4 linked regions of the Caenorhabditis elegans genome follow. The protein of the gene in region 1 interacts with the protein of each later gene in a pairwise test. Each region holds a gene or a part of one and is shown on either strand. Other genes may lie near its edges. The genes, in order: rps-6, dnsn-1, add-1 and klp-4.

Region 1 (3,369 bases):
TCGGATTTTTCGTGGGCTAAATGAATTTTTTGATGTTTTTTGTGCTGAAAAATCGGAAGTTTTGGGCTTTTTCATTGTGAAAACTGATTTTCTAAAATAAATTTAAAGTGTTAACGTTGAAAAATTCGGAATTTTTGGGCTGTTTAGGTGCAAAAACGGATTTTGAAGTTTTTTGTGCTGAAAGATCGGATTTTTTTGGCTTTTTAGGAGGAAAAATGGATTTTTGATGTTTTTTCCCCTGAAAAATCACAATTTAGGGGCTTTTTAGTGGGAAAAATGAATTTTATCGCAGAAATTGATGAGTTTCTGCCGAAAAATCGGAATTTTTCGGATTCTTAGGGCGAAATACGATTTTTTGATGTTTTTTCACCTGAAAATCGGAATTTTAGTGATTCTCGTGAGGAAAATAGGGTTCTGTTCAAGTTTTTGCGGAAAAAATGATTTCCCAATGGAAAATTAAAGTTTCTTCGATGAAAATTAGGATTTTCATTTTTTTTTTTAAGAAAAATAAATTTTTATGAGAAAACGAACGTTTTTGACTGAAAAATCAAAATTTTCAGAAATTCCAGAGAGAAAAATGGAATTTCTGAGGAAAATTGGCGTTTTTTTCACTGAAAATCGCAATTTATCGGACTTTTCATGGGAAATACGATTTTTACGAGAACTGTAACGTTTTTCAGTGGAAAATTCGATTTCTAGCAGGGTTTATCGATAAAATATCGGTTTTTAACCAATTTTTAGTCCATTTTCCTCGAAAAATACGCACTGAAAAGGCTGTGCCGGTATAGTCGGCCCGTCGCCTCCCTCCATAACGTCTTCCCGGTCGAAAAGGAGCTTCAGCGATTTTAGAACTCCATATAAAGATGGCTCAAAGTCCAGTGACACTTCATCATCACAGGAATAGCAGTAAAGCTCGAAAGAAATGCAATCAATGACGACTGGGTGGCTGGTTTCTTCAAAATGATGCAAAGCGTGGCCCGAGTCGTTTCTTCCGCACAGAATTCGTCCGCAAGTGAGGCACATCAGCGATTTATTGCAATTATCGCATTCGTCGCAGAAGGTTTTAATTATTTCCTGGTTTCTGGAAGAAAAACGAGTTTTTAAAGCTATTTTTAGCTTTTTTTAGCCATTTTCTAGCCAAATTTCTCAAAAAAACTCACTTCACCACCTTCCCACGATTCGAATTTCCCTCCAAGAACAAATTATTGTCCTCCATGTCCTGTTTCTTGCGGAACATCCCCTTGGGCACACGCTCCACACAATCTTCCGCCTTTATATGGGTGCAAAGCATCTGAAAAAATTCGAAAATCAGTCAATTTGAGTGTGAGAGCAAAGTTTTGGCACTTAAAACGCGGATAAAAAATCGATAATCAAGAAAAACAGCAAATTTTCGGCGGAAATCGAAGAAAAACCGAAAATCGAGTCGGAAAATCGGAAAAGTTTGGAAAAAAATAAAATCCATCGGACGAGATAGTGTGGGAAAGGTGGGGTGCAGCAGACGACGAGGCGGATGGGGGATGGGTCTCGCCACGAAGGGCGTGCGCCTTTAAACTGGAATTGTCGTTGGCCTAAAAAGTTTTCGCTCCTTTTTTCATTTTTCCCTCGAATTTTTGGGTGAATTTCTCATTTTTAGGCGAACTTTTCGGTTTTTTTTTCGAATTTTCAAAATTTTAAATGTTTTCCTGATAGTTTTCCTCCACATTTCGCAGGATATTTGCTTGGAAAATCAAATTTATTAGTTTTAGGCCCATGTTTTCGTTTTTCGCTTCAGTTTCTCCTTTTCTCACCCCGTTAACTCATTTCCAATGTTTTTCTTCTTGCAGGTAATAATATTTGAGCGATGAGACTTAACTTCGCCTACCCAGCCACCGGGCTCCAAAAGTCGTTCGAGGTCGATGAGGAGAAGAAGCTTCGCCTCTTCTTCGAGAAGCGCATGTCCCAGGAGGTCGCCATCGATGCTCTCGGTGACGAGTGGAAGGTTAGCGAGTCACCCAAAAACACAGAAACGAAGTGATGTTTCTGTGTCAAATCCTCATTGTTTCACGTGCTTTTTCTTCGCTGAAATGGCTGTGACTAGACATACATTGAGAGTCCCAGTTTTTGTTTTTGAACCGATTCTCGGCTCTTTCAAACGAGTTGCTTTTTTCCAGGGATATGTCGTCAGAATCGGAGGAGGAAACGACAAGCAGGGATTCCCAATGAAGCAAGGAATTCTCACCAACGGACGTGTTCGTCTTCTCTTGAAGAAGGGACAATCCTGCTACCGTGAGCGCAAGAACGGAGAGCGCAAGAGAAAGTCCGTCCGTGGATGCATCGTCGACGCCAACATGTCCGCTCTTTCCCTCGTCATCGTGAAGAAGGGAGATGGAGAGATCGAAGGACTCACCGACTCCGTTCTCCCACGCAAGCTCGGACCAAAGAGAGCCTCCAAGATCCGCAAGCTCTTCAACTTGACCAAGCACGACGATGTCACCAAATACGTCATCACCCACGACAAGACCTTCCCAGATGGTGAGTTTCTTCAATATTCTCTTTAAATTTAGTTTTTAACTGTCTAAATTTCCAGGAGTCACCAAGACCATCGCACCAAAGATCCAGCGTCTCATCACCCCAGCTCGTATCGCCAGAAAGAAGTACCTTCTCCGCCAGAAGCGCAACCAGAAGATCAAGATGCGCGATGACGCCGCTGCCTACCACAAGCTCCTCGCCAAGTACTCCAAGGAAGAGCACGACGCCAAGATCGCCCGCAGACGCTCTTCGGCTTCCCATCACTCCGAGTCCGAGGTCAAGAAGACCAGCAAGAAGTAAATACTGCTGCTCGTTATTGTTTCCTAATGAAATTGTTGTTAAACTTAAATCTTTTTTTTTTGTTGTTCACTCCATTCGTCTCACCAATTATATTTGCACCCATTTGTCGTTGTTAATTTTTTTGAATGCTTACTCCGAGTCCTGGCACGCCACTCAGGGTACTTGGTCGATCCGTTCTTCGCCTGCGGGGCGGATAGCAGGCTTCGCAGCTTTCAAAGCTTTTCGGTTCTTTGCTTGGCTGATAGTTGTATGACTCAACCGAAGGCGTCTCTCGTGTGACCTTTTTATAAAGAGTCGTTCCATCTAAACGGGAGTCGTCCATTTTTGTGTTAATTCTGCTAAGATAAAGCGCGCTCCTGAAATTATCTTCCAAAGTGCTGTGATTCTTTTTCAAGGATACGGTAGAAGTCTTGCTATGAGATATCTTCCGCCACAAATATAGGAATTCTCATGTTTTAATTGTTTCCCAGCAAGACATTGGCCAGTTTTCAACTGAAAATTCATTTTTCGATTAATTCCGGGTGTTGAATTCAAAAATCTGATAGAACTACTGTAAATTTA
Region 2 (7,123 bases), on another chromosome or scaffold:
GACCGTTTGGTAGCGTTTTTCTCAAAAACGGCTGGTGCAACATTTTTGTAATGCATATAAAACATGTTGGAAAATAAATTCAAAATTTTTTGGACCAAAGCTTTTTTCTTAAAACGCGCCCAAACCTGGCTAAACTCAATATAGACCACAAAATTCAAAGAATGCGTACTGCGCAGCATATTTGACGCGCAAAATATCTCGTAGCGAAATATACAGTAATTCTTTAAATGACTACTGTAGCGCTTGTGTCGATTTACGGTGATCTCGACTTTTTCGTCATTATTGTGCTCTATTTCAATATTTTAATTAATTATTTAATAATGATTTGAGTAGCTCGACACCAGTGTAAAGAATTACTGTAGTTTTCGCTACGAGATGTTTTGCGCGTCAAATATGTTGCGCAGTACGCATTCTCAGAATATTGTGTTCCCGTAATATGGAATGATAGATTACCGACGGATCCCTGTAGACGAACAAAAAACATTGATGTTCCATTTTTTGCTGCTAGTACATACGTGTTCAAAATTTAAATGTTAATATTCATATAAAAATAACTTGTATCAAAATCTTAGAAAAATTTTTTTCACAGGATGTTCAATTAATTCTTCAAAATCTCAATTCTTAGTCCATTTCACACAATTCTCAGCAATTGTCACAGTATTCCAGTTGGTGGCAGTTTCCGTCCAATCAGACATTCCTTGACTCGTATGTCGATCCATGACTTGCATTGTTACCGGCTTCTCCTCCGTCGAGCACATGTTCGTAGAGCGGATGAACTGGGTCATCTGAAGGAAAATACAGAAATTAAAAAGCTGCAAACGCGCCCCAATGCAAACTTTTACCATTTTTGCACAATGCGGGAGCACTGGACCATTTTCCAGCTTCAGCTCGTATTCCGTGCACTTGGTTCCGGCTTTTGCGAATATATTCGATGATTTCTGGAAAAATTGACTTGTAATTTGAATTTCTAATTCAGAAAAATTGGCTACCGTCAAGCTGAGCAACTGCCCATACAAAAATGGTGACGTGGCGATTAGAGTGGGCGGGATTTTCGTGTAGGGACCCGTTTTCTCGTGTACAACGTCCGAATCCATCAGCGCGTTGAATAGAGCATGAATCTTGGAGCCATGGACTACAAGACACTGGAAACCGGCACGATCAGTCACTTGGGAAGAGAGTTCTCTGGAAAAATTGGAAATTTGGGCATAGTTTCCGCATCCCCGGTGACAAATGTGCTCTATTGCACCGAATTGTTGGTTGGAATACGGTATTTATTGCATGTTTCAGCCGAGAATACCGATATTCATACCATCAATTTGGATAGAAGCACATAAGTCACAGAAATTCATTTTTAGAGGCTACGGAAGCTACAGTAATCCTTATGGGAGTTATACGGCATTTTCAGAGCAATTTTCGGTGTTTTTTTAAACAAAAACTTCAAAATTTTGGAAAAAAACGGTGAAAATTGCTATTTTCTACAATTTTCCCAGAAAATTGAAAATTTGGGCATAGCTTCCGCATCCCCGGTGACAAATGTGCTCTATTGCACCGAATTGTTGGTTGGAATACGGTATTTATTGCATGTTTCAGCCGAGAATACCGATATTCATACCATCAAAATTGGATAGAAGCACATAAGTCACAGAAAATTAATTTTCAATGAGGGAAAAATAGGATTACTGTAGCTTTGCGCAGATCGCGGAGCTACAGTAATCCTAGGAGGAGTCACATTACACAGTTCGGGTTACTGTAGCGCCGGGCTATTGCCACGCAGCTACAGTAACCTTTTGTATGTACAGTAACCTATTGACTTTTTTAATGGAAAAAATCTTGAAAATCAAAATTTCGACGTTTTTCGGAAAATTTTAATTTTAAAATAGTAGTAGATTTGAACTTTTTAGCGTAAAATTTGCAATTTTAAGGCAAAAAATCAAATTCCACAAAATATTTCAAATTTTAAAGTACAAAAATTTGGGGCTACTGTAGTTTTGAGCGCAGCTACAGTAACCTTTCGTGAAAAAACGGGGTTTGCACGAAAAAACTGTCAAAAACTATGATTTTTTGGGTTTTTTTTCCAGAAAGTTCAATAAAAAAGCTTTTTTGCCTGGATAATGGCAAATTTTTACCTCGAAACAGTATTTTTCACTGTTCGCGGTGAGACCCCAATCTCATTCAACCATTGGTTCGCCAGCTTCATTGGACTCTCGTTCTCATCACTGTCTTGATCTTTTTTCAGCGGGCTTTCATCGGAATTTTCCGAATTTTCGATTCCACCGAATGTTGTTGGTCCCATTTGAGAGTTCTCCTTGGATTCTGAAGCCAAAAGGCAATCCAGTGTTGACTGATCATGATGGAGTTGTGGTGAACTGCTGACACGCTTCAGAGACGATGTGGGCTTTGGAGCCTCGAAGTCGACGCCTGCAAAAATTGAAATTTCAGTTTAAAAATGAATATTTAATAGAGTTTCAGCTTTTTTGCCTATTTCAGCTTTTAAATCGACAAAAAAAACAGTTTTTGAGCTGAAATTCGCAATGGAGCACGTTTGCCGCACACTATAATTTGAAAAAAAAGTTTTTTTCCTCAAAAATATCATTTTACAGTAGGATTTTAAGTGAAAAAGTGCGTAATTTCGTATAAAATCCTGCAAAATCGGAATTTTCGAGGAAAATTGAGCCAATTTTGAAATTTTTGAGTGAATTAACCAAAAAATCTAAATTTTAAGCTAAAAAGGCATTTTTTAATTTGGGTCTGCTAAATCAAAAGTTGTAGTTTGTAGTCTAGCAGACCCAACATTTTCCATTTTCGCAATGAAAAAAAAGGAAACTTGATGAATTTTTCAATTTTTCAGCGGGAAAATGAAAATGTTTCGAATAGAAATTAGAAAAATTCATGTTTTTTGCGATTTTTAGTGGAAAAAAAAATGCAATTTTTGTATTTTAAGGCAAAAGTGCGTATTTTCAGATAAAATCCTGAAAAAAATCGGAATTTCTGGGGGAAAATTGATCTAATTTCGAATTTTTGAGTGAATTAAAATTGTATTCCAAAAAAACGAATCAAAAAATCTAAATTTTAAACTGAAAACAGGCATTTTTAATTTGGGTCTGCTAAATCAAAAGTTGTAGTTTGTAGTTTAGCAGACCCAAAATTTACTATTTTTGCAATGAAAATTGATGAATTTTTCAATTTTTCAGCGGGAAAATGAACATTTTTTGAATAGAAATAAGAAAAATTCAAGTTTTTGCGATTTTAAGCTGAAAAATTTGCACTTTTTGTGCTTTAAGACCTTGTACGGCTTGAAAAAAGTATTTTTTACCCACAATTTTCAATTTTATAGCATAAAATCAATCTGAAAATTGCTCAAAAATTCTACCCTGGCTTCTCAAATGCTCTCGGATCGCCGACGTCGTATGAGTGATCACAGCGACAAGCTTCTGCCCTCGAAAAGCCTGCGAGCAAGATTGTGACGTGTCATCTGCCGCCACATCATCACCACCACCCGACAACGGCATTTTCGTAAAAAGCACGTTGCAAACAGCAGTCGCCACGTAAAAACTGCCACGTTGTCCCTTTTTATACGAGCTGTAGAGCTCCGCGTAGCACTCTTGCCATTGTTCCAACATTGTGCTCGTCACCAGTGGAGCCAGCGAGACACGGGACACGTTTCTGCAAAAAAATTCGAATTTTAGGTGTTGCAAGTGTGCTCCACCGTACTCTTGCTCTGCGGTGATTCTTGGATACATTTTGAGCCCTGGAATTACTGGAAACTGGTAGAAAAGCGAGGCAGCTTCAAGAATTGACATTGGAGACACTGGGAGAGGCACTGTCGGGTCCTGAAATTTGAATTTTTTGAAAAAAAAAGGGTCTGCTAGGCTACAAACTACAAATTTGTCAGAAAAATATCATTGAAAATGGTTTTTTCTTTCAATTTTGAAGTAAAAAATTATTAAAAACTTGATTTCAACTGAAAAATACTATGAAAACTGCTGAAAAAGCCACAAAAATATATTTTGAAGACTACAAACTACAAATTTTGATTTAGCAGACCTAAATGATTTTTTTTTTCGTTTTTCGACGATTTTTACACAATTTTATGGATTTTAGCTCAAAATTTGCGATTTCAGATAAATTTTCCCTGAAAATTCCGATTTTTTCAGGATTTTGTATGAAAATACGCACTTTTGTCTTAAAACACAAAAATTGCAAAATTTTCCACTAAAAATCGCAAAACACTTGAATTTTTCTGATTTCTATTTGAAAAATGTTCATTTTCCCGCTGAAAAATTGAAAAATTCATCAATTTTCCAATTTTCCATGCGAAAATTGAAAATTTTTGGTCTGCTAGACTACAAACTACACATTTTGATTTAGCAGACCAAAGTGGTTTTGAAGAGATTGGGTCTGCTAGACTACAAACTACAAATTTCGATTTAGCAGACCCAAGCCAACATTTGCTTGAAAAAACCGTTTTTCTCCAAAATTTTTGCTGCGAAGGCCATTTTTCTACACAGAAAAGTCAAAAATAGTAGATTTCGACCCACCTCATAGCCATTAAGAAACGTTTTATTAAAATATTGCATTCCATCGAATCGATCGTTCGTCTGAAACTTGACAATCACATTTCCCGTCGATTTTCTCGTATTCATCCATGGAAACGAGACTTTTGACACGATTCTCATCTTGCTTCCGATCCGAAGATCAGTTGGAAGATCCTCGGCAGACTCCTGGGCTGGTTCTGCTGGTTTTTGAGCCGATGACGACGTGGCAAGGAGCGCGGAGAAGTCGACCGGATGGAATTCTTGAAGAAGAGCCTGCAGAATTCAATTTTTGTTTAAAAAAAACCTCGAGAATTTTATATTTTCTCACTGGATCAAAGCTCTGGAATCTCTCAAACTTCTGTGGACTTTTTCTTTTCCGCGGGGAGCTTCTCACTCCTTTGGTGGGCGTTTTAAGTGGATCGGGGCTTCTGAAACTTAAAATTATTAGAGAAGATTGCTCAAATTTCCAATTCAAACCTCGAAATACTCGCTGCAAACGGATCGTCTTGTGAGAAGGTCACCTGGGGTTTTTGTCGCTTCTTTTGCGGGGAAGAGACCTGAAAATCGACTTTTTAAAATAAAAATAAGTTCATTTCTCTACTTTAAACGGATTATTCGCTGTCGGAGCCGGACAACTATCCGTAAATCCCTCCAAGCCTTCAAAATCGGTAGGTGGCGGTGGAGGCACAGCGTTGAGAATGTTTCGGCAGCTTGATCGACGTTTTATTTGCGTTTTGAGCCGATTTCGAGGATTATAGTGCTCGTCGGACATTTTAATAGGCTGAAAATTACAGATTTAATGAGGAAAATACGTAAAAATCACTGAAAATGTCTGAAAATTAAAAAATTTATTAAATTCTTAGCTTCTCGCGCTTTTTCAATAGAGCGCGAATGCTTGCGCGCAAAGGGAGACTGCTGGCGCATTTCTTGATCGTTGGCGCGTTTTTGGCTCCATTTTTGCGAAAAAATATAATTTTATTGTTTTTTCTTGTAATTCTAAAGTTTTTGATTGATTTTCGATGTTTCTTTTTGAAATTTTATAGCGAAAAATCGATATTTCACTCTTTTTTCCAGGTAATTCATCATGGCACCCGACGAAGTCACCAAAAAGAAGCGAAAATCGGTGAAATTCGCCGAAGAAGAGCCACCAAAAGTGAAAGAAGCACCTAAAAAACAGAAAGCCGGCAAGAAAATCGAGGTTTCCGTGGAGTTGCGCGACAAAAATGAGGAGAAAATGGGCAGAAAGAGAAAACACCGAATGAAGAAGAGTCAGGCAGAGTAAGTCGATATTTTGGGTTGCAGAAAAAGAAAAAAATGTGTTATAATAATTTTTCAGAAAACGCCAGAAGCTTATGGAAAGCCTAGTTGGTCCTCAAGTCGATGAGATGGATTTCGAGCCGGAGCACAAGACATTCGCGGATTTTGGTCTGGATGAGCGTATTCTGAAGGTTTTTTTTTGCAAATTTAGACTTAAAATATTAGAATTTTCTTGCAGAGCATCGGAGAACTCGGCTGGGAAAAGGCAAATCAAGTCCAAGAGTCTGTGATCTCTCTGGCACTGGAAAACAAGAATATTATGGGAAGAGCTCGTACTGGATCCGGAAAAACCGGCGCTTTTCTGATTCCTCTTGTGCAGAAGCTGATCGCCGAATCCAAGACGAATGATGGATCAGTTGGACCATCTGCTGTGATCATTGCACCCACAAAAGAGCTCATCACACAGATTTATAAGCTTTTCGTGAAGCTTTCGCAGGCCTTGCCGTTTTTGCAGGTAAAATATGCGGATTTTAGTGGAAAAAATCTAAAATTTTGGTATTTTCAGGCTATCAATCTGTGTGATATCAATGAAGAGGAGAACTCGGTTTGGCTGGAGGACAGAAGCCACGTGGTTGTCACAACACCCGGAAAATTGCTCAGAATGTGCTCTTTGAGACCAGAATATTGCACATTGGTCAGCTATTTGGTGATGGACGAGGCGGATTTGTTGCTCTCCTTTGGTTATGAGGAGGAAATGATGTTAGTAGACGGATTTTGAGCTGGAAAATCGAAAAATTGACATGATTTAGCACTAGGACCTGGAAATTTGGGTCAAAATCGTATTTATTCTTTAAAAAAAATCAAAAAGTATTCAAATTTTCACTTGCTCCCAGTGAGAAATAGGAAATATTCGATGGCAAAACCACTTTGGTTTTTTTAAATATTGGTCTGCTAAATGAAAATGTGTAGTTTGTAGTCTAGCAGACCCAAAATTTTTAATTTTCGCATTGAAAATTGGAAAATTGATGAATTTTTTAAATTTTTCAGCGGGAAAATGAACATTTTTCAAATAGAAATTAGAAAAATTCAAGTGTTTTGCGATTTTTAGTGGAAAATTGGCCAAAAGTGCGTATTTTCATATAAAATCCTGAAAAAATCGGGACTTTCGGGGAAAATTGATTTAAATTTAAATTTTTGAGTGAATTAGCATTGTATTCCAAAAAAAAACGAATCAAAAATCGAAATTTTAAGCTGAAAACAGGAATTTTTTAATATTGGTCTGCTAAATCGAAAATTGTAGTTTGTAGTCTCCAAAATCAATTTTTGCGGCC
Region 3 (7,633 bases), on another chromosome or scaffold:
TGTTTTGTTTTCCTGTTTTCTCCACTTGTTCTTTTTATCAGATCTATTTAATCAAAAAGGTTAAAACAAATAGTTTGTTTTACTATCGTCACCATAGGTGTGTGTGCGTGTGTGTTTGATATAAGATTTAATCGCAATTCGGCATGTTTCTTCTATTGTTGCCGCATTGGTTAAACACCAGTTTGGGGTTTTTTTGGAAGAGTATTTCAAGTTTCTGAAAGTTAAAGCATTTCAAATTTCAGACTAAGAATTTTACAGTAAGTGGTATTATAAATAATTGCATTGACCGCAAATTATTGAAAAAGCTTAGAATTTTTAAATAGAAATATTGTTTCAGCATTTCGTAGTAGTGCTGCAATATTATCTTATCGGAATAATTAATCTGAAAAGTTCAAACCGATTTTTAAATTTTGACAAATTTATTTTGAGTTATAAAACTCTGTTTGCGGAAAAATGGTTACTTTCCCAAAAAGTAATGAAATCTCACAAAACTAATTGGCCTAGCTCAATTCGAAAATTTCCACTTCCATTTTGCTTCACCGTTCTTTTTCATTTGAGCCACCCTACTTGTGCACCACTCGGACAAGTGCATTCTATTTATTCCATTTTCTTTTCATTGTGATTAACCATCCTGAATAAAATGTCTTGGGTTTTCTGCTCGGCGCCTCTTTCTATCTTTCTCCAAAATAGAGTACATGTAGACTTGAGTTTCTTTTCGGTCTTCCTTTTCTTCCCTCATTCCTTAAATTAGATTTGACATAAGAAGAACTTTATCGCAACAGGCGGATACCTTAAGGTTCTCATTCTTGTTTGCCGTTTATCGCTTCCATCGCAGACAAAAGTAGTGTGTTGGAGAATTTGACTGACGCAAAAACCACAAACATTTTAGGGTCAAATTCACATTTCCAATTAATATTTTTCAATATTACCGTTTGCCATGCTTCATAGGTAATTAGATGTATACACTTTCTCATGGCAAGTGTGCCACCCGTAGAGCAAATGTTATATAACGCAGGAGGTATGCAATAACCAAATTTTGTATACAAATCAGATGGCTCGCCATCGAATAGTCTCACGCTGAATGAACTATTTTTCGATCAATTCATGCTTTTTAGTACAGCTTTGTGTAAGCTGTGTGCTAGTAGAAATGTCAAATTATTTTCATGAAATTGTATACATCCGATTTAGCATATCTTAAAAAATCCTTATTTGTAAATACAGTTTCCGATAACTTGTGAACCCTTTTTTACTTAATTTGATATTTCAATCTTTAGTAAGTTCAACTGTTAACACCTTTATAACAGTTTTTCATCTTGAAAAAATGTCTAAAAATTTGACAAACAGAAATTTAACGTTAAAAGACCAATAATGAAACAGGAAAACAAGACAATATCAAAAGTAGGCCATCCATTTGCGCGGGAATTTAAACATAATTCAGAAAATCATCGCACATTTAGAATAATTTTATTATTTTTATTTTTAAATTCATATTTGTACACTACATCCCATTTTCATATTTGCAAAGTAATGTTTACTTTTCTAAACTTTGTGATTTTTTCTTGAATTTCAATATTTCAATCTCATTTTCAATTTTCTTAAACTTCAATAAAGTTTCAGATGATTGGAAGAAAAGAGAAGGAACGGGAACGTCCATACTATCGAGACCCAGATGACCCTGAATATATCAAAGATTTGCAAAGACCGGCAGTAATCAAAGTAAGTGCTGCTCCAAGTTTTTCCGTAAAAAAAACTAGAGCACATCAAGTTTTCCCTCCTCAGCTCTCTTTTTTCTCTTTTTCCAAGAACTTCAATTAATGAAACCTGCCATTATTAGCGCAGTGTCATTTTTTGAAAAGACTTGGGAAATTGAATGGAAAATGCAAGAGAAGAAGAGAAAGGAGTGCTCGCTCTTTAATCAGCTTAAAAGATGGATGAGAAATGCTCTATTTTAGGAGGATTTGTCAGAGATGGAGAGACGGAAAAGAGTGCAACAGATACTTGAATCAAAATCATTCTGCCACGAGCTAGAAGAAGTTATTCGTCAGGTTTGTAATTTGTCTTTTTTCTCGTTATTTTGTTTCAATAAATGTAATTTTGTACAAAACATTTTACATCTAGGAGTGTGATACAGCACGTACGGATCCGGATCACTTGCAAGTACTCCAGAAACTTTCGGACCTCACAGTTCCACAAGGAAACATGTCGTTTGGCAACCTTCACACATATGGTTTGTATTATATTTTGGAATAATGTATTCGAAAAACGGATAACTTGGTTTTTTTTCCTTATTTTGACAAAAGAAACTCGATTTATGCTTATTCACACGAGGAGTTACAACATGTTATAATGCAGAAAACTTTCCTATACGAATTTTAGCTATGCTGAAACCTTGTGACACAAAAGTAGATATACTTTTTTTGTTTTTCTAGTAAAGTATTATAATATCAAAAATCTAAGATTCCCATGCATAAACAAAATTGCAATATTTTTACAAACTTGAACTTCTGTAAGTTGACAATTTCCGATAAATCATGTAATCTATGTTTCAGGTGGAAACACCATTGCAATTGCTGATCTTCGTGGAAACGAGAAGTATTCAAAAGCGGAACGTATCCAGAGAAACAAATTGGCATGCTTGTTTCGACTAGCTGACCTGTTCCAGTGGTCACAAGGGATTCATAACGAAATCTCGGTAGGGTGCTTGAAGTATTGACTTTTTAAAATTACCACAAAAATTTAAAACTTGAACCTGTGGTTTAAAGTAAAATTTTGCAATCAACCAAATTTATTTTACAATATAGCAAATACAACGCGTGTAGAAATTGTATGAATTTCAACTTTATTAAAATACGAAACTTCTGAAACAGCTGCCAAAATGTAAGGATTAATCAGCTTTAAATTGGGATTTTTTTTGTTCAGTGTTGTGTTCCGGTTACACACCACTTTATTTTCCGACGTGAGTTAACTAGCAGGTCCATTAACGACGTGTTTAAAAAAATGTATTAAAATTATATTTCTATGAAACTTCTACAAAAGTAAAAACACCATATTTACCTTTCTAGAAGAATTTTAACAAAATTGATTTAGTATCGAACCAACGATGAGGATAACACTTTTCTGATGAATCCATTTGGTCTTCTCTACCATGAAATCACTGCTGCGACCATCGTGAAGATAGATGAAAATGGAAAAATTCTGGATTGCGGGACACTGAAAGCTGGAGTCAACCAGGTACCTTTAAAATCAAAAACGACTTATTTTTGCACTCATCAAGTTAAGCCTGCGTTTCTTCTTCATTCTGCAATTTACAAAGCTCACCCAATGGTCAGATGCATTCTTCATATGCACACGGCAATTGTGGCGGCTGTGGCTAGTATGAAATGTGGTTTATTGCCTCTATGTAAGGAAGCAATGGTGCTTGGGCCAGTTGGATATCACGATTATCAGGTTAGCAAAAATATTGAATTTGAAGAAAAACAATCACTTGTGTGGTTATTTTCATAATCTGAAAAATTTAAGTGTGAACGAGAGAAAATTGAAAATCTGAAGGTTAAAGAAACTAGAAGCAAAATCGGCAACCGTTTTTTAAAATTATTTTTTGATGATTTTTTTCCAGTCAAAGTTTTGGTACTTTGCCAAAATTTGAAAAAGTTTATCATGTAAATCGGTAGTTTTAGTACTTAAAGTAGATATAGAAAAGTTCATCGTCGACCTTCGAACGGTTTAAATTTTCATTAACCTTTCACATGACTTTAACTATAAAATCAAAAAAATTGTTGAATTTTCTTTTCAGGACATTGGTGATGATGATATTCAATTTGACGAAATTATTGCAAATCTTGGAGACAAAAACGTGCGTTAGCTTTACTTTGAACTGCTTTTCTATCCGCTTTTCTATGCTTCGTTTCAGGTCCTTTTCCTCCGCAATCAAGGATTCCTTGTTGTCGGTGACACTATCGAGCATGCCACTTTTCTAGCCAACAACACTGTGATAGCATGCGAAACTCAGGTTTTTGAAGTTTCTCATATTTAAAAATTACACGCTGCCCTGCCGCCAGTAGTTCAATTCTATCGCCAAATGCTTATTTTTTATGAAATGACGATGGGATTAAAACATTTAAGGTTCTGCTGATCAGAGGAGAAGGATGTTTTGTTGTTGGAAATTCCGTTGAAGAGACATCTATAATTATGCGCAACTTAGTCACTGCTTGTGACCATCAGGTTTAGAAAAGTTATAATAAATGAGAAATATTATTTCATATCAAATACAAAATACATAATCAAAGTTTCCAAAAACAAAATATTTTTGTAAGGTACGTGCCGCAAGGGCTGGACTTGACAACCTCATCATTCCGGAAGAGAAAGCAATACAAAGAGCGTTCAGAAATTCTCGAAATAGTAAGATTCTGCAATATATATTGAAATTTAAAATACATCTATAATGCTTTTGTAGCGAATTCCCTGAAACGAAATGGAACAGTTGATTGGAGAGTCGGAGAATTAGAATGGGAGTCTTGGATGAGAGTGTTGGATCATGCGGTGAGCAGAATTTTTTCGCCCTGCTCACAGTTGTTTCACTAAAAATTGCTACTAATTATAGAATTTTCAAACCGGGCACGTCTATCGTCAACCACAACTGCGGCCCAAATCTGCAATGTCTACGTCAATGGTGAACAACAATGATGTTGCTGTTCCGCCAACTACATCAGCTTATGGACAAATTGATGAAACAAACTTGGAAAGTGTATCTGCACATCGTCTGGCTTTACTGCGCAAGGAGCAGGAGCGGGTTCGTTGGATGAACAGTCCAAATGCATATCAGAAGGTTGAATTTTTGGAGTATGGAGCAGATAACCCAAAGAAGATAACTAAAGTAAGAACTGTTTTCAACTTTTGCAGTACGAAAATAAAATTTGTACATGAACTTCTGATGGTTTGTGTCATTATGTTTACACAGTTATTTTCATATAAATGTACAAAAAAATTTGAAGAAACATTAAATTAAAAACTATAAACAGAGATTTGAAAACCCAAATAGCTATGATATGGGTGGGCCCTACTAGTGAATTTTTGTTTTGGATAATTTCTATGTCACTAATTTTTGGATTGTTGTCATTATGCACATTATGAATACATGTTATGCTAACGCAATAAAAAAATGTATTTTTCAATATTGGAGTAGTGTCAGAAAATGTTCAAAATTGCTCCAATACCAACTATCGATTCAGGCTGTGCCTAATTGTGTTTTGAAAATTTTGATCCGCAATAAAAATATGTATTAAAGTTTTTTGAGAAGTCTCATTATAAAATTCGGTCGCATTTGGTTATTGAGTTCAAATTAAACATCTATGATAAATCATTGGAGAAAAAATTAATTTTAAAGTGTTTTAAATTTACACAAGTTCAAATCATTTCAGTGGGTTCATGACGTCAACGTTCCATCCGCGAGTGGAACCCCTGTCAAAATCAGCAGTGTTCATCAATTCAGTCCTGCGTCTTCAAATCCTAAAGAATTTAAAGAAAAACAAAAAGCTATCAAAGAAAACAACAGACTGGGAACTCTTTCTGCTGGACCACAAAGCCAGATTTTGGACAGTGTGACATATGAAGACATTGCACTATTGATTAAAGTGAAATATCCCGTCTTGAAAATTCATTTATTATTTTGTAATCTTTCAGCCTGATAATGACGGAACAGTCGGACAGAGCTCGACCGCTGACCGAGCAATACTTATCGGAACTGCCAGCAAGGGAATCATTGATAGGCAATTTCAGCATCATGCTCAGGTGTACCACCAAATCTATGCGCCGAATCCATTCTCTGTAGAAACTGATGCAGACATCAAGAAATATGTAGACATGGTGAAGGCCAAGAACTCGCAAAGCGCTCCTGTCTCAGCGAGAAGTGGTTACTCTCAATACGATGAGGTTGAAGCTGGTAAGGTAGCTGAAACAAAAAAACAGCAATTTTTAAAGTCGTTTTTGAAAACGAAAACTGAAATTCCTTTATTTAAAACGTAATAAAATAAAATAAACACTGCAAAAAATCCATGTTGTGTTGCGAGTTTTTAACTGAAAATCTGGGGTTCAAAACACTTGTGGGATGCCACTTGTTTTGAGTATGTTCTTTTTGGCTCCACTTACAAAATATATTTTTGAAAATATATTGCTGACAAAGGTCTAAAAATAGCTTCTCTAGTTGTAACCAGCCGATTTTCAAAAATTATTCCAGATACAGTTTCCTTAATGCAAGGAGTACGAGAACATAAACTTTCTCAAGCGGCTCTGAGCGCATCTGACGACGGCCTGAATGCCGGAATCTCCCCGAATAATGGTAATTTTTATGTGGTTGCTCCTTCACATTTTATCGATGCGCCTGTTTTCTATCGCTTTGTTTTCCAGTGTTTTAAATTATTTGAATGCCTATTTTCCATATTTCCAGTCCGAACTTCCGAAGAAAGCGTCAATACGTCGTACATGAGCCAGTCAGTTGTGTTCGATTGTAGGTTTATTTTCCTTATTCTTTCTGTGTAGCATGTGTGTGGTGGCTTCAAAGCTTTTTATAACTTTCACAGATTTTCTAACTCTTTGTGTACAGGCGATCACCCTTCTCCGATGTCAATTTCGACAGAGTACCCTGAAAAAGTTAAAATGACGCGATTTTCGTCGACTCAAGGAACAAGTGAAGGTATATTTGTAACTACGTGGTGTCTATTTGTGTTTTCACTTTTTTTTCGAGCGCATCAGCTAACTAATCAATAACTGAGTTGTAACATTTAGGCAATACAACGTCTCGATCGTGCACTACAGCGTCTGAAGAAGAAGTAAGAATTTTTGGAAGCAAATAGTTTTTCAAATGTTTCAAACTTAAAAAAGAATGAGGTTTCTTGCCATAAATAACAGAAAAACTATAAAGTAATATATTAAATTTTTAATAATGTTTTTTTTCAAATTAGAAGTTTTTTTTTGATATTTTAACAATTTCTGAAAAATTTTAAAAAAATTCAATGAAAAAATTAAACTTTTTACAGTTGTATTCTCTATATATAAACTGTTTTCTGTTATTTTGGGCAAAACCCCACTGACTCTACTCTACCTTCAAATAAGATTGAAATATTTGCTAACTTCTCTGCTTTTGGGACTAATCAAGCACTTATTTTACACCGTTTTTTATTTCAGAAGCCTACAAAAGATGAGAAAAAGAAGAAAAAGAAAGGATTTTTGTCATTTATGCGAAAAAAGGACAAATGAAAAATGAGAGTTTTGCTCTCACCTTGCTCTCACCAACACGTTCACATCACTTAACTCTAACACTTTTCGATAACTTTTTCTATGTTTTCTTTTCAATTTTCAGATCCGGATATACTACGCCCAATTTACCGTCAAGAAACATATGTCTAGTCTCTGGACTTTTCTTTCTTTCCCGTGAACTTTCAATTCCGGTTATGGATAATAGCAACACTCTGTGCTTTGTCTTTTGTTTTTCGAATATTTTTAAAATGTCATTTTGTACGCATATTTTTTTTATATTATGTATTTGCATTTCCATCAAGTTTTTTATACTTTCATCTATAAATAATTATATTATATTACAAAAAAAAGCCAGGACAGAGAAGAATTCGGCAAAGTGACT
Region 4 (8,025 bases), on another chromosome or scaffold:
AAAGTGTAAAAGTGTGTATTTTCATTGTTTAAACAATATCCAGCTATGATTTCTATAAAAAATGTTTGGCCCAAAGTTCAAAGTCTAAAATTTAAAAAATAGCATTCAAAAAATAGTCTTGCTGCTTTTTTTAGACTTGCACTCCTACGAACCAATTGAAAATTAGTTTTGCAAGACTAATAGAGGAAATATGGCAATTCTGTATTTAGACTTTTTACCATTTCAAAATGTTGAATAGATTTTGACAAAATCCCCATTTTCCCTACACTGTTTTTAATTAATATTAAAGTTTTAATGAAACCCGGTAGCTATTTTTGGAACGTTTAGATTAACATTTCTTATTGCATGTTTCAAAGAATTACTTTTCTAATAAACACAATCGTGTAAACATTATACATCCCGATTTGGCAGTTCTTTCACACGTCTATTTACCAAGGGATCCTTCTCTTTGTGGATCAGATGATTTGTGACATCTCGCGAATTCCAATAAGATGACGCACGGCTACAAAATTCTTGATTAACAAAAACGCACATCGTGTTGATTAAAGGATTTCCGAATCTAGATACCTCTCTCTCGCTCTTTTTCTTTTGCGTCAATTTTTTTGAGCTGTCAAATCGTTTGTCCTCAAAACCCGAGCTCAAAAAAGATCAGCTCAATTTGTTTAAGTAGTGCACTTTTTTGATAGGATTGTTTTCCCGTTTTCTCAAGTGTTGCTTCCCATTCTCCGGCTGAGCAATTTTTGAAATTTTTTAGTGAGTGAAGTTTAAAAATCAAGCATCTAGATTTTGATGACGAAATAAAACGAATTTTTTACAGCCAAAAAAAAACGAAGGGTTCACATTGCAGCTTCCGGTTCCAGCTCATCTTTTGCTCTTGTTCTTTCGTTTCTTTTTATGGTGGAATGAGTTGAGCCGAGTTCAGAAAGAAGCGCGGAAAAACGGGAGACGCGCGCATCAGCATAGTAGATGTTCATCAATTGCAAATGAGAATGTTAATGCTCGGCCGGGTTCACTGGCGCGGGGTGCACACGCCAATGTATCATTCTGAATGGTTTCGTATCGTGCCCTTTTTTGACTAGGAATGTGTGGGGGAGAAGGATATGGGGATAGAGAACGGCGCCAGAGATAGACGGCTACCACCAGGACGACAAAGGTTAGAGTCAGACAGATGGAGCACGTTCCGAATATCATTTTTCACCGGCTCATTGTCCATTACGTCATGTTCCTGCAATTCCAACAAGCTTTTGGGACTCATAAAAAGTTTTTGATCAGTGTTTGCGCAAGGTCACCTATCCAATTTGGGTTGTAAATTTCCAATTTTTCGGCTGCTGCGCGAGATGTATCTCATGGTTTTATTAGGAAAATCCATCGGTTACCTCATCTCCTGAAACTGACGTGAAGAGCCAAACTTCTAAGCTTCACTCTCAGTTTCGTCTTTCTACTTTTTCCCCCTCTCACTTCCCGTTTTTGTTTATTGTACAAGAATTAGATAGTTGGGAACAAAGTGTCTTTTGAAAAGTGTCCGCTACATACATATGTCATGTACAAGAGATTCGCCTCGTGCCCCCCGTTTTTGGGGGCCCCCAGAAACTACTAATCCCTTTCCAACAGAAGCTCTTTTGGCATTGATGTGCTCTCACACCACACAAAAGCAAAGCACCCAATGAAATTGCACTCTGTCTCACTTTGCCAGCAGGGAAAAAAATAACTTTTGAAAATCAAGTTTGATTTCTTACTTAAATTCGGTTTTTTTAAGTTTATAAAATTTGAGAAACTTCCAATTAAAATCTCCGCTTCCAGTACTTTCTCAATTCACTGACGTTTTTCGTTTACTTTTCGTTTACCTACCCATCCGATTATGTTCGCCTTTCACCTTTCCTTGTATCATTGCGAGTGAAAAGTTTTCCAAAACTGATTGCCTCATAAATTTTTTGATTATTCTCCCTCACTCCGTCTTCGTTATTGACAATAACTTTATCGATTACCTGCTTTTTATCAATTGAGCGTGTTTTTCAGATGTTCTAAGAAATCTTCAGACTTGGTTGGAAAATGACAGCTCCAGATGAAGAAAGCGCTGTCAAAGTTGCTATTCGTGTACGCCCGTTTAACAAAAGAGGTAATATAATTTATTATTAAAAATGGTCATTGTGATATCAAAATTTCAAAATATTTCAGAACTCGACTTGAAAACAAAGTCTGTGGTTCGAATTCAAAAGGAACAATGTGTGCTTCATCATCCAATTGAAGAGTAAGTAGATTAATGAGAAAGCAAAGAAAAATTACCTGATATCTATTTTATTGTAGGAAAAACTCGAAAACCTTCACATTCGATCACTCATTTTGCTCCACTGACCCGCATAGTTATGACTTCGCAAGTCAAGAAACAGTGTCCTATCACCTTGGATCCGGTGTAGTGGAGAACGCATTTTCGGGGTACAATGCATGCATTTTCGCTTATGGACAGACTGGATCCGGAAAGTCTTACACAATGATGGGAACCCCTGATCAGCCGGGAATCATTCCTCGTGTTTGTAATGATGTGAGTTTTTTTGTTCGTTTTTTTTTCCAAAAATGCACTCCTAGTGAAATTGAAAGCATACCTGTTTTTTTTTCAGATATTCACGAGAATTCAAGAAACTAGCAATTCTTCCCTGTCGTTCAAAGTTGAGGTGTCTTACATGGAAATTTACAACGAAAGAGTTCGAGACTTGCTTGACCCAAAAAAGTAAGCCATTCGTTTCTCTCAAAAGCAAAAACATAAAACAAACGTCTTTGAAGATCAAGCAAAGCATTGAAAGTGCGTGAGCATAAAATACTTGGACCCATGGTTGATGGATTGTCGATTCTTGCAGTCAACTCTTTTGAGGTTTGCCGATGCTTGAAAGAGTTTTTTTTCATCCACTTGTTTATTTTTTCCAGCAAATTTCAAACCTGCTAGAAGAGGGAAACAAGTCAAGAACTGTCGCTGCAACTAACATGAATGCCGAAAGCTCAAGATCACATGCAGTTTTTAGTTTGATTGTAACACAAACTTTGCATGATTTGGAAAATGGGTTTAGTGGCGAGAAAGTTGCCAAAATTTCGTTGGTTGACTTGGCTGGAAGTGAGAGAGCTGGGAAAACGGGAGCAGTTGGAAAACGGCTCGAGGAAGGTGGAAACATTAACAAGTAGGTGAAACTATGGAATTTTATATACATTTTCTTGCGAAGTGGCTTAAAAAATAAGTAAAAAATTGGAGGAATTTAGTTTCTATTTTTCTCCGAAATGATCTTGAAAAAAAAATCGATTTTAAATTTTCAGCTGATGTTTTTTGTTAAAAAGTATGTTATTGATAATCTCAATTTCATATTGATTTTTCAAATTGAAGAAAAAACTTGAAGTCACTACCAACTTTCAACTTAACATTTAACAGGTATATGTATTTATTAATCAAAAGCTTGATTTCAGATCACTAACTACACTTGGTATGGTAATTTCTGCTTTAGCGGAAAGAAATTCCAAAAAAGACAAGTTCATCCCATATCGAGACTCTGTTTTAACCTGGCTGCTCAAGGACTCACTTGGAGGAAATTCAAGGACAGTTATGATTGCGACCCTTTCTCCAGCTGCCGATAACTATGAAGAAACCCTCTCCACACTGAGATATGCAGATCGTGCGAAGAAGATTGTCAACCACGCAATTATCAACGAGGATCCGAATGCAAGAGTTATTCGGGAACTTCGCGAAGAAGTGGAGACTTTACGAATGCAGATTACACAAACTAAAAAAGAGCACGCTGAAACTGAAGAGCTTCGTGAAAGGCTTGCAGAGAGTGAACGTCTTGTAGCTCAAATGAACAAGTCTTGGGAGGAACGTCTTAAAGAAACTGACACGTTGAATAAAGAACGACAGAAGGATCTGACGGAAATCGGAATTTCTATAGAGTCCAGTGGAATTAAAGTTGAGAAGGATAGGTTTTATCTGGTGAATATGAATGCCGATCCATCATTGAATGAGTTGCTAGTCTATTATATTAATGTGAGTTGAACATTGCGTTTTTTGTTTCAATAAAATTATATTTTCTAGGGATCAGCAATTATTGGAAACTCGGAGGAGCTAGAGACAAGTAGAGACTCTGGACTATCAATGACATGCAGTGATTCTTCGAGAAGAGATGATGACAAAGGTATTGTATTTTTTTTCAAATTTTTTGATCTACCATTTTTTTTCTCTTTTCAGAACGAACTAGTATTGTCCTCCGAGGTCTAGGAATCATGAGACGGCACGCAAAAATGACTGTTGAAGAGTATGGCGGGCGTCTACGCCTGTTTGTAGCCCCAATGTCTTCGGAATGCAGAATCTGTGTTAATGGAAAGCAGATAACTGAAAGGACGCTTCTTAGAAATGGGAATCGGCTGCTTGTGGGCATGAATCACTTCTTCAAAGTTAACTGCCCGAAAGTGATGGACATGGAACAATCCATTATGGAGGACAGCACCATGTTCGACTACAATGACGCTTGGCATGAGGTTAACGATGCGAACCCCATCAGTTCCGCCGTTGACCAATACATGGAGAGTGTTACACTCAAGCACCAGGTTTGCGAGATTTCTTTTTTCGTTGCAAAAATCTAATTCCTACGTAATTAAATTTTTATCGGTTTTTTTTCAGGAAGACAAAAAGGCAGCTCTTGAGCAACAATACGAAGCATTTGAGAAATACATTCAGTCATTGACTGCCGGCGGGTTTACCCCATCTACGCCAATGACTCCTGGTTTTTGTCTGCCTACTCCAATCACTACACCTACCGGACTACCCCCATTCCCTTTCCCAGCAAACCCAAAACAATCTGTGAAAAGCAAATTCTTCTATTGGGCACAGAGAAAGTGAGTTTTTAAATAAATGTCAAAATTTTGAATTTTCAAAAATATGAATAATTCCAGAGAAGAAATGTTCGCGGAGTCATTGAAAAGGCTGAAAGCAGATGTTATTCATGCAAATGCTCTTGTACGGGAAGCAAATATGATTTCCAAGGAGCTCAATAAAAAACCAAAGCGTCAAACCACATATGATGTGACACTGCAAATTCCAGCTTCAAACTTGAGACCGATTAAAATCAAAGCTGGGCAATTTGTTTGTGAGCCAGTGATAGTCGTTCGTAGAGAAGGAATGAGTGGAAGTCAATTCTGGACTGTTTCTCAGCTTGAGAGCCGTCTTGTTGACATGAGAGATACTTATAATGATATGCTAAATGGATTCACAAGGTTCGAGTTTATTCATTGATCGTTACGAATTCAATTTACATTTTTTCAAGAACCAGCGAGTCTTTGAACGGCACACCTCATGCATCACCAATGAAGATAGCCGGAATTCCAATGAATGAGTGCTCATCTCTAGTCATTGACCCATTCTTCGAAAGCCAAGAGCACCATAATTTAGTTGGTGTTGCAAATGTGTTTTTAGAAGTGTTGTTCCATGATCTCCGTCTCGATTATCAAGTAAATCAAATCGCGGGAAGATGTTGATTTTTTAATGTTCTCTATTTCAGGTCCCAATTATTTCGCAGCAAGGGGAAGTTGCTGGGCGTCTTCATGTGCAAATTTTTCGCGTGGTAACTCAGGAAGAGATGGATGAAACTTCCAATAATGGACCAGAGACACTTCTTGGCAAAACGATCACTTGTCGGGTACGAATCAAGCGCGCATCTGGTCTTCCGGAAAAACTATCAAACTTTGTGTTTTGTCAATATTCATTTTTCAACATTTCTGAACTACTTGTGGTTGCCCCAGCAAACGAAGCTGCTAATCATTCATCTTGTCCAACTACTGTGATTTTCGAACATCAAAGAGTGAGTTTGCATAACCTAATAACCATTGATCATTAAAGCAAATTGCAGGATTTCAATGTGATGGTCACGGAAGAATTTATGGAGTATGTTAGAGATGATGCGTTGTCTATTGAAGTATGGGGACACAGAATATGCGGACATCCTGAAGAGCGAATTTTGGACACTGATGAAAAATCCAAGTCTTTGCAAAACCGATGGATGGAAGTTACCAGGCGTTTAGAAACGTGGTCAGAGGTGCGAGAATTGAATGATAATGGAGATTGGACGAGTGTGGAAGTCCGACATGCAGATGACGTATCGACTGGCGGTATATACCAATTAAAGCAAGGTCAGCAGAGAAGATTGGTTGTGGGTGTGAATGTTGCTGCGCCTGATGGGTTGCCTATCAGCATTGATTGTATTACTTCTGTTAGCATTGGGGCGATTATGGCTGTAAAATCAACGAACAACTTGAAATCGATCGACAGCTACCAGGAAGAAGACTTGGATAAGATTAGAAAACAATGGTCACATGCATTAAAGTCACGACAGTATTATCTTCAACATCAACTTGACTCTCTTTCTGCCAAATCAGGAAAATCCGAGGCTGAGCTGGACCGTGAGCATTCTCTAATGGGACAATGGGTAGCATTGACTGAGGAAAGAACAGCCGTCGAATGTCCAACACCAAATTCGTGTATACCAGGAGCACCATGTGATTGGTATGTGACGCGATTGAGCTTAAACTGAATATATCTTGATAATTTGCAGGATTGCCCCTGAAGGAGTGGAACGACATATCCCAGTATTATTCTTAGACTTAAACTCCGACGATATGACCGGTGAAATGACAAGTGATGAGAATGTGCCGCGTGTTGCTGGCTTACACTCCATGCTTCCACTTGAGCCAGAGGGCAACTTGCTGATGGTTCCAATTCAGAAGTATGATGACAAAGATCATGTGGCAACATGTTCCTGGGATTCATCAGTTCATGATTGTCCGGCACTCAATGTTCCTACTAACAGCAATGATCGTGTGTACGCAATTGTCAAGGTATTAGTACCTAAAATAATATTCAAAAATAAAATAAAATATTTTCAGATTATGGTGAGACTATCACACCCATGTCCAATGCACATTGTGCTGAGAAAGAGAATATGCTTACAAATTTACAAAAAACCAAGCCTAACAGAAAAGTTTTTCAAGAAGATGCTGGGCACCGAGACTATTCATAGAACTTCTTTATACTATGATGTAGTTGCTCATATTCCGAAGGTAAAAAATGTAACCAAACAATTTTCTGAAACATATTTTTCCAGTCTTCGCAAGATATGGAAGACCGGTCTTCACTGGCAATGATGGCTGCGAAGGATACATCTCACGACGAGCAGGGCGGTGGCTCATCTCGAAGCTCCACTTCATCCACGGAATCACAACACCAGCAGCAGACCCTTAATTACATTGAAGCCTACACAAAAAGTATTCAGGCGGTATGTCCAGTCAACGGTTCTTCGAAAAATATAATATTTCAGGTCGAGTCAATGTTGAAACTGGATAGACTTCGCCAAGAAGTAGCTATTACCAATATGCTTACTAAGAAGGAAAGGCTGCAACGTATTCAAAATTTCGGACTACCAATGCATTCTTTGAGGATGAACAGAGCAGTCAGTTTGCCAAATGCAATTTCTAATGCTGGACAGGTAAGTTGGAAGTTTTAAATATTGCTATAGTTGATTTAAGAGCATCTTGAAAAAATTTCATTTTTTTTTTCAGATTAATGGAGTAGAAAAACGATCCGACACGCCAATGAGTATATCCTCCTCCAATTCAATGGGTATGTTCTTTTTTTTATTGATTTCTTTTTTTTTTTGAATTATTGACTCGCCGCTGGTTTTTGAATCGCCCGGAAACGCGTCGCTTCAACTTGGTTCTTTCTACTCACCTTTACAGATCATTTAACCCAGAAATGTGTTTTCATGAAAAAAAATACATACAACTAATGCTTCTCACTTCTAATTTTTCTTCGCTATCTATCCCCAAAAAGTGATATGAATTGCACCTTTGATTGCAGTTGGGAATCAAACGATCTCGATGAAAAATGCACTTTCTGCACTGCGGATTGTTTTTAAAAAGCATGCAGAGCTTCTCGAAATTCTGTTTCTTTTCAACAACTTGCTTTCTAGAGTGAGAAAATGTGAAACTAAGCATTATTCCAAA

Evidence for each region.
Region 2: the proteins of rps-6 (region 1) and dnsn-1 interact in a two-hybrid assay, tested with the Caenorhabditis elegans proteins (one large-scale study listed by BioGRID).
Region 3: the proteins of rps-6 (region 1) and add-1 interact in a two-hybrid assay, tested with the Caenorhabditis elegans proteins (one large-scale study listed by BioGRID).
Region 4: the proteins of rps-6 (region 1) and klp-4 interact in a two-hybrid assay, tested with the Caenorhabditis elegans proteins (one large-scale study listed by BioGRID).

The regions. Positions count from the first base shown.
Region 1 is NC_003279.8:13,950,338-13,953,706, forward strand, and holds rps-6 (Small ribosomal subunit protein eS6), read left to right. Parts: upstream 1-1,823; 5' UTR 1,824-1,840; coding exon 1,841-1,978; intron 1,979-2,150; coding exon 2,151-2,511; intron 2,512-2,566; coding exon 2,567-2,808; 3' UTR 2,809-2,857; downstream 2,858-3,369. Other genes in the region: usp-3 (Ubiquitin carboxyl-terminal hydrolase), read right to left, coding at 767-1,081, 1,161-1,291.
Region 2 is NC_003280.10:405,613-412,735, forward strand, and holds dnsn-1 (Downstream Neighbor of SoN homolog), read right to left. Parts: upstream 5,321-7,123; 5' UTR 5,308-5,320; coding exon 5,137-5,307; intron 5,093-5,136; coding exon 5,013-5,092; intron 4,970-5,012; coding exon 4,864-4,969; intron 4,809-4,863; coding exon 4,539-4,808; intron 4,445-4,538; exon of another isoform or gene 4,393-4,444; intron 3,831-4,392; coding exon 3,712-3,830; intron 3,664-3,711; coding exon 3,371-3,663; intron 2,792-3,370; exon of another isoform or gene 2,742-2,791; intron 2,419-2,741; coding exon 2,127-2,418; intron 1,183-2,126; coding exon 990-1,182; intron 939-989; coding exon 843-938; intron 786-842; coding exon 615-785; 3' UTR 529-614; downstream 1-528. Other genes in the region: C24H12.4 (RNA helicase), read left to right, coding at 5,620-5,813, 5,872-5,983, 6,031-6,306, 6,358-6,551.
Region 3 is NC_003284.9:4,854,021-4,861,653, reverse strand, and holds add-1 (Adducin-related protein 1), read left to right. Parts: upstream 1-1,610; 5' UTR 1,611-1,617; coding exon 1,618-1,716; intron 1,717-1,952; coding exon 1,953-2,045; intron 2,046-2,118; coding exon 2,119-2,227; intron 2,228-2,549; coding exon 2,550-2,692; intron 2,693-2,811; exon of another isoform or gene 2,812-2,961; intron 2,962-3,087; coding exon 3,088-3,231; intron 3,232-3,279; coding exon 3,280-3,447; intron 3,448-3,793; coding exon 3,794-3,853; intron 3,854-3,910; coding exon 3,911-4,009; intron 4,010-4,313; coding exon 4,314-4,398; intron 4,399-4,453; coding exon 4,454-4,539; intron 4,540-4,600; coding exon 4,601-4,873; intron 4,874-5,417; coding exon 5,418-5,630; intron 5,631-5,679; coding exon 5,680-5,938; intron 5,939-6,232; coding exon 6,233-6,334; intron 6,335-6,442; coding exon 6,443-6,502; intron 6,503-6,598; coding exon 6,599-6,688; coding exon of another isoform or gene 6,689-6,762; intron 6,763-6,780; coding exon 6,781-6,824; intron 6,825-7,179; coding exon 7,180-7,251; and 4 more. UniProt on the Caenorhabditis elegans protein: Membrane-cytoskeleton-associated protein that promotes the assembly of the spectrin-actin network. Plays a role in time-dependent memmory loss and the retention of conditioned behavior over time.
Region 4 is NC_003284.9:3,172,687-3,180,711, reverse strand, and holds the start of klp-4 (Kinesin motor domain-containing protein), read left to right. Parts: upstream 1-2,010; 5' UTR 2,011-2,049; coding exon 2,050-2,116; intron 2,117-2,175; coding exon 2,176-2,248; intron 2,249-2,304; coding exon 2,305-2,539; intron 2,540-2,615; coding exon 2,616-2,725; intron 2,726-2,778; coding exon 2,779-2,866; intron 2,867-2,919; coding exon 2,920-3,167; intron 3,168-3,447; coding exon 3,448-4,018; intron 4,019-4,066; coding exon 4,067-4,166; intron 4,167-4,219; coding exon 4,220-4,578; intron 4,579-4,651; coding exon 4,652-4,866; intron 4,867-4,923; coding exon 4,924-5,244; intron 5,245-5,294; coding exon 5,295-5,478; intron 5,479-5,528; coding exon 5,529-5,828; intron 5,829-5,876; coding exon 5,877-6,529; intron 6,530-6,578; coding exon 6,579-6,861; intron 6,862-6,909; coding exon 6,910-7,083; intron 7,084-7,127; coding exon 7,128-7,298; intron 7,299-7,340; coding exon 7,341-7,508; intron 7,509-7,581; coding exon 7,582-7,642; intron 7,643-8,025.